Diceros bicornis minor: one gene and its partner. The protein of the gene in region 1 binds, or shares a complex with, the protein of each later gene. Links are inferred from orthologs where the notes say so. Each region holds a gene or a part of one and is shown in the gene's direction. Other genes may lie near its edges.

Region 1 (7,127 bases):
GTTATTGTTTAATGGGTACAGAGTTTCTATTTGGAGTAATGAAAAAGTTTTGGAAATAGTGGTGATGGTTGCACAACATTGTGAATGAATACATATCCACCTAAAACTGATGCAATATTATATGTCAATTATATCTGAATAAAACTGGGAAGAATGGCCCAAATGCAAATTTTGTTATATAGATATATTTTACCACAATAAAAAAATATATATCTCCAGACCCAAAAGACTTTATAGACAAGTTCACAGAACAGATACCGTGTGCATGTGTGTGCGTGTTTGCATGTATGTGTGTGAGAGGGAGAGAGAGAGAGAGACAGAGACAGAGAGAGAAATAGAGACAGAGAGACAGAAGGAGAGAGACAGAGAAGGACAGAGAGATTAATCTGCTTTGTTTTGAGATTAGAGTATCCTTTATACTAAAATAATACAAGAAAGGAAAAACAATCTCAATTTTGAAAGTAAAGCCAAAAAGTCTAAATATTAGTAACTAAATCCAACAATTAATCTTTTAAACATCTCGACCAAGTTTAGCTTATCCCAGGAATGCAAGAAAAGTTTGACATTAAAAAGCCTGTTAATGTAATTCACCACATTAAAAAATGAAAGAAGAAAAATCGTATTTGATTACCTCAAAAGATGCAGGAAAAAACCTCGTGATACATGATTCAACACTTATTCTTGATTAAGAACTCTTTAGCCAGCTAGGAACACTTAACCTAAAAGAGTGAGATTTTTGCATTTTGATTTAAAACAAATCTGCTAGATTCGTTTATTTTGCTTGCATCAGAATTTCTGCAAGAAATGATGTTTTTGAATGATGTTTTTTAATAATTTCAGACCTTTGTGAGGAGATGTATAATTCTTATGAACTGGTTTAGTTTAGTTAAATATTAAAAGATAAGAGAGGTCATAATCAGAAGGTTATTAGCACAAGAGTGGTGAACAAATCCTACCTCTTATGACAGTTGACCACTTTGAGTACACGATCTCTTACCGTAAACCTCTGCCATAGACTGAACTGTGTCCCCCCAAAACTCACATGTTGATCCCCAACCCTCAATATGACTGTATTTGGAGACAGGGATTTTAGGCGGTTATTAAGGTTAAATGAGGTCCTCAGGGTGAAGTCCTAATCTAATAGGATTGGCGGCCCCATTGGAAGAAGAAGAGAGAGTTCTCTCTCTCCCCATCCCAATGCACCAAGGAAAGGCCGTGTGAGGACCCAGCAAGAAGGCAGCCATCTACAAGCCGGGAAGAGAGCTCTCACCAGAAACCGAAGGGACTGGCACCTTGATCTTGGATTTCTCAGCCTACAGAACTGTGAGAAAATAAATCTCTATTGTTTAAGCCACCCGCTCTATGGTATTTTGTTAAAGCAGCCTGAGCTAAGACAACATCCACACTTTTTTAATTTAATAAACCTTACAGCATTTACTATGTGCCAGGATTTGACCAATATTAACTTACTAAATCTCATAACAACCCTCTGGAGTAGTCACTATTATTATTATTAACCTCAATTTACAGATGAGGAAACTGAAGCCTAGAGAAGTTAAGGAAGTTGTTGAAGATCCTCAACCTTAAGATCCTGCATTCAACTTCTTTCTCTCTTCTCTCCTGGGACTCCACTAGATGTGGTGGACCACTCAATTTCTCCACCATGTCTTTGATCCACTCTTTCCTATTTTCCATTTTTCTGTGCCACATTTTAATTTTTTAAATTTCTCTTTTGCATCATTAATTCTCTTTTCAGCTCTCTCATTAGTAGTTTAACACATCCTTTGCTTTAAAAAAAAAATCATAACTTTACTATTCATTTCTAAAAGTTCTAGCCGGTTCTTTTTCACATTTGCCTAATCTTTTTGATAGCATCTCACTCTTCTCATATTTTCAAAGCCTCCTTTTCAGTTCTTATATGGTCATTGTTTTTCTATATTCTCCATCTGATCATTGTATTATCAGAAGTTCTTGAGGATCTAGTAGTGCTCTCTGATTGTCTGCAGACTCTTGATTGTTTCCCCCTGTGTTGTCTAATTTTGGATTGTGAGCTCATCTTCAGCAAGGTTAATCTGTGGCCATCCTGAACTGACTACTTGAAAGTGTGTCCCTCCAGAAAAGTTTTGTATTTTTCTTTTGTGCTCTTGCTTGGCACCCCACAGGGATCCAGTAGCCTGAGACCATTTTTTAAAATTTGTCACTTAGGGGGTTCCTAAGTGATATAGGTAGCATAAACAAGATGCTTCAACAGCATAGTGCAAGCCAATGGTTATGAATTCTCTGGAGAATATTTTTTCCACCGTATGCAGAGCACACACTACAAGTTCTCTTGTTGTCTCCTTATGCCAGCACTAAATAATAGATAGTCTCTTTCAATCTAAAAGCCTGTTCTTCCACTTCTGAGATGTTTTCTAATATTACTGCTTTGATAAATTCTACCTTTTCATTTCCTTGGTTCTCTCTTTCTATAACTACAGGTGTGGAATTTCTTAACCTGAAATCCTCTCATTTTCTCTATAATACTTTTTTGTAAGGGCGATATGCTTGTTTTTTCATTGGAGAATTCAGAAACGACGATATCTTGGATCTAGTCTTTGTGGCTATTCAGTTTCTCCAGAAAACAATATTTCACGTTTTCCAATTTGATGCCTGTGGAGGTGGCACAGGGGGACCTAAAGATATATGTTTAGTTGCCTCAGTTCTGTGAAAAGGAGAGCAACCTGCCCACCTCTCCATTTTGTATCCAGTTTCCAGCCCTGAGACTCACCCACCCTCTGCCAAACCTGGGAACTTGAGACCTAGTGTCTCTGGTTCAACTTCCCTGGAGAAGAAAGGTGGCTTTTTGGACTGTAGATGGTGTTCTCCTCGTGTCTTCAGATCATCTTCCCTCTGTGTGTGTCCGTCTCTGTGCCTGAATTCCCCCTTTTTAAAAGGACACAGTCATATTGGATCAAGGCCCACCGAATGACCTTATTTTAACTTGATTACCTCTGTAAAGACCCCATCTCCAAATAAAGTCACATTCTGAGGTACAGTGGGTAGGACTGCAACATTTCTTTTTTGGAGTAACACAGTTCAACCCATAACACCACTGAGCCTAATTAAGAGCCTCTCTGGAGTTCTGCAGAGTAGATCAGGTCATTTCCTCATTCTTACTGCTACCTGCCCCCCACCACCACACACACACACACACACACACACACACGCAGATACACGCACAGAGACACACATACATACACACACAGACACACACGGACACATGTACACAGACACACATGCAGATACACACACAGACATACACATACACAGAGACACAGGGACACACATACATACACATACAGAGACATGTACACAGATACTTACACACGCAGAGACATACACACAGATACACAGACACACAGACACACATAGACACATACACACGGGCTCACATAGACACAGACGTACACATACACACATTCAGACACACAGATACACACAGAGACCCAAATACACACACATACACACGTATACTTGGAGTGTGGCTTTCTTTGGTCTGTTCATTCCATTACTCGTCTATCTACTTTGCCTCTTCTCCCATTTCCTTTGCTTTTTTGAGCCATAACATTTATGTCCTCTTTCAGTAATTTTAGAGGGATTCAGAGAATAAGCAGAGATTAGCCTGTACGTTCAATCTTCCACCTTTAACCAGAAAACACTCCAGAGCCACATTCGCTGGTGCCCAAAGCCCCTCCAGGAAGCCTTTGCTGTGGATAAGCTGGACACCCTCACCCTACAACTGCGGCCTTTTATGGTTTTAACCACCCACCTCTGAGCATCGCCTGTGTTTTACCAGAAATGCCCAGTGACCCCTGATGACATGAGGGAGGCTATCTTACAACTTGACCTAATTTTTGCCCAGGTCCCCCAAGCTGACTTCTCTTTGTCCTTCTCCTGTAGGCTGTGCTCCTCTGATCACCCCACATGTTTGTTGTGTTCCACTGCTGGAAGTAACCTGCCACTTTAAAAGAAAAAAAAGCCACCGAGTGACCTTCCTTAGGAACGGGTTGCTAAGCGGGTGTTTTTGCTTGGAGACTTGGCTGCAGCTTCCAGGGAGCAGCCTAGGGGCCGCCCCAGCATTCAGCATTTCCTTTTGGACTCTTTTAGAAGATTCAACAATAGGACCTGTCTCTCTCCACTTTCCCTTCGTCCCAGAAAGCAGAGTCTGCACAGCGCCTTTGTAAAGTTCCTTAAGGTAAAGCAGTTCTTCCCGGGAGCGGGGCTGCTGCAATGGTGTCCCGCTCTCAGTCCCCAGGCTTGGAGTTCAGCCTCTCCCCTCGGTAACCTGAGTGGATTTAATGAACTGTAAATTAAGGGTTCTCATCATTACTATTGATGTTTTACTTTCTGGAATTGAAGCACAGAGCGTTCCTTGGACTGCTTAGATTGAGCTGCTGCCCGGTGTCTGGTGTGCAGGCTATGTCAGTCAGGCTCATCACAGCCCCTGGGTGGAATTCCTCCCAGAGGGTCGGTCCCTCTGCTTCCTGCCTGGGACTTCCATGCCGTCCTGTTGCATCCGGTCTCCCAGAAACATTTGCTGCATGTTGCCGTTCTGGGCCTTTCAGTTCCAATTTGTTTGAGGGGGGAAGTACTAGTTGTTGCAGCCTTCACCCTTCCTCCCATTAGACAGAGAAAAGGCCACTACAGACACAGGGCTGTGGATTGCTGTTCTCTCCAAAAGACCTCAAGATAATCTGCTGGCTGCGATTTAAGCTGATTATTTCCCTTCATTGCAAAGAGGTGCTATGAAAAGCTAATAAATCTAATGGGAAATACAAGTCTGTGGTTGGATTTTCATATCACCTTTTCTGCAAGTAAATTCAGCACCAGAATGAAATCTCTCTCGATATCTCTCTCCTAGAGCTCATTTAAAGAGTCTTTCATTCAAACATTTATCGGGCATCCACAGTGCACCAGGCAATGTGCTGAAGTTGAGAGTGTGCAAAAGTGAATAAGATAGGTCAGAAGCTCTGAGTTTCCTGGGAAGACAGACCTGTAAACAGATCATAACAGTAGAGTGAGCTGAGTGCCATAGGAGATTTATCACAGGGTTTAAAGTGCTTAGAGCACAGCAGACTACTCCCAGGGAGGGCCTGGGGGCACCTGGTTCATCGTGTGTGCGCCCTGGGCATATATCACAGAGCGCAGCTCAAATATGGGATTTATATGTGCTCTTCAAGGGCGATGTGTGTTATATTGAGCTGATTAAGGTCCCTAACCTTAAACTATGGGAAGCTACGGCTGGAATAACTTGTAGAATTAGGTAATAAATTTTAAAAAGGGTGTGTGTGGCCCCTGCCCAGCGTAGGTCCAGGCTCCAGCTCTGCCAGTCTGGACAGAAAAAGCTAAGCACTGTACACAGGGAGAAATGCCCATGGGTGTGAGGGCAGGGGAAGGCTTCAGAAACACCATAAATAGAAACAGAAAGAAAACTGCCCTGGGCCCAGCTCAGGGAAGGGAGAGGGGATATTGGTTATTAGAGCCAGAGAGTTGAACTTGGGAACCAAAGATGGTACAGGGGGCCTGATCTAAGGTCTTTCTTATGACTCTCCTTCTGTCCCCTAAGCTCTTTCCCTCCCCACACGATTCTTCTACTTTCCCTCTCTACCATCACATTTTTTAATAATAACGCTTACTGGTATTGAAAGCCTGGTCCAAGCTAGGCATTTTACTACACACATTTTATCATTTAACCCTTATAAAATCATCACCCACTGAGGTAGGATTTATGATGGCAAGTTTACAGATGTAGAAATCTCAGAGAGGTGAAGGCATTGCTCCAAGAGCACACAGCTGATAAATAGAGCTGGAATTGGAACCCAGGTCCATATAATTTTTTACAAAGGCCTCACTCTTTCTATAAACCCATGTTTTCACAGTTCTGGAGTAGGATGCACCCACTGTATTGTTTTTTAAGCAGCCAAGGTTGAGATGCAGTGCATACAATGGTGCCCTTTTCATATATCTTCATTCCTTTTCCCCTACATCCTGTAGAATTTGCCACAGGGGCCCCTGGATAGGACTTTGATCCTCTTGACCCTCAGAGATAGTCCATTTGTTTGGATGAAGGTGTCACTACTTTCCTTGAAATATGTCTGTGGTTTCTGCACTGAGTTAAATAAATCATTGACTTAAAGTAGCCAAAGCCCGTTCTCAGTGGGACAATGCTCCACTTCAACTCAATCATCAATATTTCCAGAATAGTTGGCTAGCATAGAATGGTAACTGATATCATCGTAAAAGCGAGACTAAATGGTGAGGCAGAGTGGCACGGAAGAGGACTCTGGGATCACAGTCTTGGGGTCAAATTCTGAATGTGACGTTGAATAACTATCACCTTGGGCAAGTCATGTAACCTGTCAGAGGTTAACCTCAGAGGAAACCTTGGTTTCCTCGTATGTAAATTGAGGCATGTGCTACTAAGTTAGCAGAGTTATTGTGAGGCCTCATGATCACATGTATCTAGAGAGAGCACAAAATAAGTCTGCAGTAAATCACAGCTCTTATTTTGATGTTACCAATAGAAATATATTAACAAGCGCTCAACGCAAGATGACAAGCTGCATATTAAAGTGGGGCAATATTAATTTATCTTTTCTTAGCAACAGTGTTCATGAAAACATAAATTTTGATGTTATTTGATTTCCTTAGAAACTCATTCAAAAGTAATGATCAGGAAAGAATGAGAAGAAAAAAATCAACCCCATTACATTTTTCATTTTCTACTTCTATTTCTTTCTTTCACATACAATATATTTTTTTAATTTATTGAGAAAGAATCTTTTTTCAGTCACTAAAATATATCACAGTTCTTTTGTTCCCGTTCATAATTACCAGAGGTGTTTATTAGAGAGGTTTCGTGTCCTGTGGCATTTCATTTTTATTATCTGCCCCTCCTTCTCTCTAGATTACCTCCCCATCCTTTTGTTTTCCTAGCTGCTTTCATCATCTCTCTTCCTCTGTTTTTTGTAGCCCACGAGGAGGTCTGGATGGGAGACAATGGAATTTCAGATGTTTTATTTCCCTTTAACGTGCTAATCCCCCACTAGGGTCAGTGAAACCTTGAATACCTCAGATGAACTGCTTAA
Region 2 (7,739 bases), on another chromosome or scaffold:
TATTTTTATGTTCATATGTTTTCAATGATTACTATATCAAGGTCTGACTCTCCAGTTTGCATTTCAGACAGTGGAGTCCATGGATATATTCTCTGAGTCTTACAGGCATTTAAAATTGTGTTCTTATTTTTATGGTAATCTAAACAAATGAACAAAATTGTTTCTGGATCATGTGTAAGGTCACCTTGTAAAGCAGTACTGCCACGAGATTCCAGTGCCTGCATTTATATTTGTGTTTATGATGCATTGGCAACGAGTTGTACTATTTTAATTGTTGTCGACAAATAAAATAAGAACAATGAATTTACTGCATTAGTGCTCAGTGAAGGCCAAATGACCTTCACTGAATGAACATCTCACAATAGTAGAAAGAGACGATATTAGGGTGAATTAGGTCATCATGAAGGAAAGGGTAATTGAAGTATGCCTAATTCAATAGAACTGGGTCAGAGCATCCTCATGTTGAAAGTGGTCATTGTGTATTGCAAAATAATGTCATTCTTATCAGATTAATGTTCATTTGAAATTTGTGTTTAAATTTAACTGGTAAATTTTCTTTGGTTTTATGTTGTATATTGTTTGAGAGCTTCAAGTGTTTAGATAATAGAACAAGATATTTTAAGTCCAAATGGGAAGTTGAGAGGATTGGTCTGTCTACAAACTGTTACTAAATTTTGTGAAAACTTGCCCAGGGAGACGTTAAGTAAGACTAAAGATAGAAACATAAGTTTTGTGGTTTAGAATAAAGCACATTTATTTGACCTAACTTTTCATAAATAGCTTCACAACCAAATGTAACAGCTGCATAACAGTAATCATAACAAGCTGCATATTATTTCTATTGGTCTCATTACTCGTTACGTTTGTGCTATCCATATGTTTCTATTTCCCCTGAAGGATGAAGATCTACAAGAGATGGAGGATTTAGCCCAAAAAATGGAGACTCAGTTTGGCCAGTTTTTTGATCACGTGATTGTGAATGACCGCTTGCAAGATGCATGTGCCCAGCTGCTATCTGCAGTTCAGAAGGCGCAGGAGGAGCCGCAGTGGGTGCCAGCAACGTGGGTTTCCTCTGATACTGAGCCTTAAGGAGGCCTTCCGCTTCATGCTGGAGTTTTAACAACGTTCACCTGTTACAGAGCTCTGGCCTAACAGCTGCAACCTAAAACAGCAGCATTTGCCCTGTTACAACGTGTGCAACTTAAAAGTGCTGCAGTTTATTAATTAATCTTATTTGAAAATATATTTGTATTGTATAGTTATGTAGAGTTACCTATTTGGCTTTTAGAAAAAAATGTTTTCCTTTACCTCATATGCAGCAATTGGTAGGAATATGAACCATGTTAAGTCACTGAATATAAGAACCTTTTATAGATTTCATATGGTCTTTGTACAATTTAGATAAAAGAGCTTTCCTAAATAAAATAAGTATTTAATTTCAGAAACTATATTTTACCTTATGAAACTTCTGTTTTATGAAAATGGCTTTCACTTGACTAACTCAGCAAGAAAGAATATACACAGTTCACACCTAACATCAAAACCTACAGAAACTGCACTACCCTCAGCACATTACACAACAGGCTACAAGGAAAAAGTCGTCTCCTGCTCAGAGCTGTAACAACCATCAATTTTCCTAAAAGCCAATATCTACATTTATGCCTAAACTAGGAAAGGGCAATAGACTTCAGTCCTAGAGACCAATATCTGAGAAAACCACAGGATGAGGATATTATTCCACGTAGTCTTGTTTTTCTTTCTTCCCTAGGTCTGAGACTTTCAGTCGCTTCTCCTGCACCTGTTATGTGTTTATCTTCTGCATCATCCTCCAACTTTCTCCATATCCACACCATCCCTCCGCTCGCTTTAACTATGAGTGTGTGCTTCAAAATATTTGTAGTTTATAAATTTAAAGTGAATATTATCTCTGTAGAAAAACCCAACCAAACAAAACGAAGAAAATTGTCATTTTTAATGATGCTTATGTGAGCCCAGATTTGATTTTATGTTGTGCTTCGAGAAAAAGGTTTCCCAAACTTGATTTACACAGTTGTGGGATGGAGGGCAAGCAACTGGAGAAAATTTGACAATTGCCTGTGTTAACACACACACACCCCCAAGCGAACCGAGCCGAACCCTGGGGCCCCGCGGCTAAACGCGTCGGTGCCCGCCTCCGACGCCCCGGAACGCGGGGCTGCGCAGAGCGGCGGCGGGCGGAGACCTGGCCCGGGCGGGGGCCGAGCCGGGCGCCGCGAAGCCCGCCTCCCGGGGAGCAGGCTCGGGCCGCGGCGGTTGCGCCGAGGAGCCCCGCGGGGAGGGCGCCATGAGGGCCGACTCGGGGGTCGGGCCGGAGGAGGGCGGCCCGGTGAGCGGGGAGGGCGCGGCGGGCCGGGCGGAGGGCGCTGCGCTGACAGCACCTACCCCGCGCGGGGCCCACGCCGACGCGCTGGGGCCCGGGCAGAGCCCCGCTCCGGAGCGTGCGTCCGCCCCCCGGAGCCCCCGGGCCGGGCCGGGCCGGGCCGAGGCGGAGGCTCGCCCCGAGGCCGGCCCCGAACTCGCGGAGCCAGGCGGGAGGTTGCCGGCGGCCGGGGCGCACGTTGCCATGACGACGCGGCCCGGGCCCTGCGGTTCCCGGGCTGCGGGCGAGGCCCCCGACTGCCTCCCCCCGGAGGGTCCGCCGCCGGGAGGAGAGCGCTGTTAGCCCTTTCTCCCTCCCGCCAGCAAATCACCGCAACCACTTGATGGCTACCCCTCGCCCGCCGGCGTCTCTACGCCCGGCCGCGCAGGCCCGACTCCGCCGCCGCGAGTTCCGCAGGGGCAGCCCGGGAGGGCCAGCCCCGCGCCCGGAGGAGGCCGCGGGCCCCAGCGGCCTGGGGGCGCAGCCCGATGGCGCACTGCGCCTGCGCGCGGCCGGGGGGCGGGGTGCGCGCCGGGGAGCGGGCGGCGGCCGGCGGCCGGGGAGCCGGCCGGAGACGGAATGGGGAGGAAGCAGGTGGTAAGCGAGCCTTAGTTACTTTTGAGTTAGGAAGATTTTGTGTTCGCTTGGGCCGTTCTACTTTTGAGGGGCGTAGAGGCTGGCCGTCTGGATGGGTGACACGTCATTTTTGCGGGACTTTTGAAACGTGGCGTTAACGGCGTGAACTGAGCGCCTGGGTAGAACGCCGGCCTTAGCATCTTCGGGACAATAGCGCTTTCGTGGAACTGTCGTTCTTTCCAGTCGAATTGTGACTACTGGACAGTATTAAGACAGCCTGCCGTGTCCTACTCTTGTAGCATTTGTGTTGCTACACTGTTTGAATGATGGATCGCTAAATGGGACAGTTGTAGAATACAAGAGTGTCTAAAATTTAACCCTTTTGAATCGGTGTCTTTTGCAAGCCGAGTGAGATACTGATTTCTAGGCATTTCTGTTTGTTTTATTTTGAAAGATTTCAGAATGCTTCTTAACTGTAATTTCTCTGAACTGCAAACACAACTTTTCCTATTCATGTAAAGTAGCATTTATAAGATTTTTAAAAAAATTCTTTCTGCCCTAAAATGCATTCTTCACGCTGTATAAAATGCTTAAAACCTCCGTGGTTTCCCGTTAAATTAAAAGAAAATCTAGACTCCTTCTCTTGGTCTTCAAGACCCTGATTTTAATCTGGTCCCTGCCTTGGTAACTGTCTGGCAGCCTTACTGGCCTTCTTTTATCTGGAATACTCCAAGCCCAATCTTCCCTAAACGCCTTTGTATTTGCTCCCCTTTGGCTCCTTTCTTATTCAGGTCTCAGCTCAAATATCTCAGAGACTTTTCCTAACTAAAGTGGCACTCCTCAGCCTCCCTCATTTATTACTATATATACACACACACACACGTATATATTACTGTAGTAATATACGTAGTAATACATATATGTTACTATAGTAATATATATATATTAATGTTATCTTCTAATACTTAACCACTAGAATGTAAATTCCATAAAAGCAGTCTCTCTGTTTTGTTCATTAGTGTATCCCTAATGCTTAGAACAGGGCCTGCCCTTTAGATAGAAAGGAATGTAGGAAGGAAGGAATTTTATATGACATTTAGAAATGGTGAAACAAATTTAAAATTGTCCATCTGATTCTCATCAGTATCTCCTGGGTTTCACTTGATGAACAGGGTTATCAAAAGATTTGAAATACATGGAGTAGAGATGCTCTAAAGCTTTTCTTACAAGCAGTTTTCTTCTTCTTTTCCCCCAAAGCGTCCTCCACGAGCCCTTCCACCTGTGCCAAGGTAAAAATAATTTAATTTTATTACTGCGTTTTAAAAATGTAAAATGAATAAAGTGAAAAAATTATACCATTACAAAATGATAATAATTCAGAAAAGACTTCTTGAAAATTTTAGGAATGGCTTCCTAAAAGTTTAAAGGTGAAAAATCCTTGAGTCATTAGTGTAAGTAACGGTTATAGTTAATGTTCTGGTTCAGAGCCTGACTGTTAGCGTGGTAGGATGATGGGTCCGTTCTGAGTGTTTAAGTCTCTTGTTTATCAGAATTCTGATCCTCTTTTGTTTGCTAGAATAGTTTCCGCAGAGTTTAAGCTGATTTTAATCAGTGACAAAATAAGAGTTCTTAATCTGTTTAATCCACTTTATTAATAGACAGTGGGGAATATGTATATGTTGGTTCAGAAAATATTAGGGTTATTTTATTGGCAGTCTTATTAAAGAGGTTATTACTTATAAATAATAAGCTAGTTTGTAAACTAACTGACTGTGTGAAAGCTAATTTTATTTTTAATTTGTAATGATTTAAGTCAAATTTCAGTCTGACAATATAATATATTTCTAATTAATAGTTTCTTTTTTTGTCTTTGTCCTGATTAAATTTGGTCGGTGTCATGTAAAGTGCTATTCAAGGTGAGTTAGTTCACTGTTACTGTAAAACTTTCTAAATGTAGTATTTGGTGTTCAAAAGTTAGTTTGATTCCTTAATGTTTCTCTTAAATTTGAATCTGAATGGTATAATTTATAATACTACAATATCTTTTTATCATAATAATCTCCTCTGACTGCCATTTTTTAATGATGGTTGATGTATAATATTAGTTATGTGGTTGATATTTGACCTTGCAAAAATAAAAGCACTCATCCCTTAATGGAGTCACCCGGAACCTAACTGCTGGCCATTTATAGTTCTGTAATAGGGACTGCATCTTTCTTTGTCTCACTGAGCCAGGAGAGACTGGGTTATGTTACACTAACCGCCAAGTCTCAGGGACTTAGTATCATACAAGGTTATTTCTGGGTAATATGGAGTCCATTGAAGCAACAATCCAGGACAGCTGCCTTTCACTGCCCCTTCACTGATGATGCGGTGATTCAGCCTACTTCCATCCTGTGGTTCTGCCATCTTAACGTGAGGCCTCCTCAGTTGCCACAGCAAGGGAAGAGAAAGCTGGAGGGTTACTCACTGGCTCTTTCAATATTTTGGCCCCAAAATGACACAGATCACTTTTGCTCGAAACCTATTGGCCAGAACCAGTCATAGGCCACACCTAAGTGCAGGGCGGGGGTGGGAGGGGTGACGAGAATATTTGGTGAGCCCACTTTCTGTGTCACAGTTTCTAACATTACTACCAGCAATGAGCTATTGGTGCCACGCTGTGGGCTCTCTTTGACTTTGTCAATTTCTTGCCTTCTTCTCCTAATATGTAGAAGTTGGCTGGACCCAGGGAAGAGAGGGAAAGTTCTTCCCTACTTCAAGTTCACTTTTGAGTGTTCCCTGCATTGAATTTTAGACAGCCTTTTCTGTTGTTGTTCTTTCTGTTTTGTAGATGATATTCCCCTTAGTCGTCCAAAGAAAAAGAAGCCCAGAACAAAAACCACACTAGGTAAGAAGTTGTTCTTTGTTGTATGGGGTCACATGTTTTTCCAGAACCTCAGATGTGATAAACATCACAGATCAAGTCCCTGCTGTGTTGAGGATAGAATCAGGGTCACTTTGAAGCGGTGGGATTCCTGGTGGTAGTGAGGGACAAGGCAGGGTTCAGTCTGAAGAGTGTCTAGAAGCATTCATGGAATAAAGGGTTGTGCCCCCTAAACTCTTACTTCCAAAACATTCTCTGACTCTTTGAGGTCTTTTATCCCTAGATAACATAAGTTGTCTCAAGCTGAGATTGGTTCCAGACCCTTGAACAGGATACTGGATTTAGAGACCTAAGGTTCCTGATCCCTCATTTCAGTCAGAGAATCTCTACAGTAGAGCGTGAGTCTGAAGGCAAGGCTGTATAATGCAGGTAGTAAAGCTCTAATAATGAGCAAGTCTTAGTTATGCACTAGTAATCCTGGATGTTCTATCAGTAACTCAAATTCAGCACGTCCAGAATTCATCTTCACCTTCAACAATAAATCAATTTTTACTTCTCACTTACGAATTTCTGTTAATGGGACCCCCCCACTCTCCCAGTCATTCAAGCTGGAAACCTCAAAGTCAGCCCTCTAACTGTTCCCTTCACTCTCCTGGCTGCCTCACAAGCTGACTTATTCTGTGGTATCTTTTATGTCTCTTTTCCCCCTTTCATCTCCACTGTCACAACTGTAGGTATTTAGATCTCTCTTCTCCCTGAGCTGTTGGGGTAGCCTCCAGCATTGCTCTGTACTTCTAGCTTTCCTCCACTCTGGTCGGTTCTGCCCACTACTGCTGGTGAGCTTCTTAAAGCTCATAGCTGATCATGCCTTCCACCTGGTCAGAAACTTACATTGGCTTATTGCCTGACAAATGGAGGAATAGATGGGGGGGGGAGAGAAGAAGAAAGAAATGGAGATGAGTGCATAGAGAGAGAAAGACATATAGACACAGAACAGAAAGAAAAGAGATGCAAAGAGACTTAGATTCACAAAGATACTCACTGAAATGCTAGGCTCTAAAAATACACTCACAGTTAGTTATAGACACACATATGGACCTAGAAAGGTCACAAGTGGAGGATGCGGTAAAGACAGTGTTGGGGGAGCAGAGGTGCAGTCTATCCCAGCTACCAGTCTTCCTTCTTGTAAAAAAGAGAAAAAAATTCAGTGCCCCAGACCAAAAAGGGGATATATTGCTAGGCTTTTATTAAAATTGTTCATTTAGGGGCTGGCCCAGTGGCATAGCGGTTAAGAGGCTGAGAATTCTTAAGGCATGAGACAAATAAGAGTTCTCTATGGTGACGGTTCTGTTGTGTTTTCACCTTTTTGAAAGTTCTGAGGCAATTTCTCCTCCTCCTCTTCTTTTGTTCTTTCTAGCCCACTGGCTTTTTTCTTCCTCAGCCTTCCTTATTCCCTCATTTATTTCTTTTCTCAACTTAAAGCCCAAAGTTACAGGTGAGGAGGAAGGAAATCAAGATTTGGGGCACAATCAGTTCTGTATGAGAAGGGGTTATTCTATAGGAAACATTCCAGTTCCCTTTTTCCTGTCTTTTTAAGACTTAGTGATCTCTGCTCAAGTTATCTCATTTTTCCCACTGTTTTTTTGTAGCTAGTGCTTCTCTGGAAGGCCTTGTTCAAACTGCTGTTCATAGGCCTTCTGAGGGCAGTGAGCTGCCAACTAAAGACCCCAGAGAACATCCAGAAGCTCCTGTTCAGAGGAGACAGAAGAAGACAAGGCCACCTCTTGGTATGTAGAGAAACCAAGGTTAGGTTGTGATTTGGAGAGTATGATTAAAAACCTGTCTGTTCCCATTTTTCCTCACCCATATCCCATTTTTTTTTTTCTTGATTAAAATTTT

What was found. The genes of interacting proteins can lie anywhere in the genome.
Region 2: CC2D2A (region 1) and TMEM237 share a complex: the UniProt entries of both Homo sapiens proteins name them as parts of the tectonic-like complex. The link is inferred for Diceros bicornis minor from reciprocal best matches to the Homo sapiens genes CC2D2A and TMEM237.

Annotation. Positions count from the first base shown.
Region 1 is NC_080747.1:11,985,268-11,992,394, forward strand, and holds the start of CC2D2A (coiled-coil and C2 domain-containing protein 2A), read left to right. Parts: upstream 1-4,125; 5' UTR 4,126-4,234; intron 4,235-7,127. UniProt on the Homo sapiens protein: Component of the tectonic-like complex, a complex localized at the transition zone of primary cilia and acting as a barrier that prevents diffusion of transmembrane proteins between the cilia and plasma membranes.
Region 2 is NC_080749.1:79,489,958-79,497,696, reverse strand, and holds the start of TMEM237 (transmembrane protein 237), read left to right. Parts: upstream 1-4,644; coding exon 4,645-4,652; intron 4,653-4,879; coding exon 4,880-4,890; intron 4,891-5,807; coding exon 5,808-5,864; intron 5,865-7,489; coding exon 7,490-7,627; intron 7,628-7,739. Other genes in the region: MPP4 (MAGUK p55 subfamily member 4), read left to right, coding at 898-1,089. UniProt on the Homo sapiens protein: Component of the transition zone in primary cilia. Required for ciliogenesis.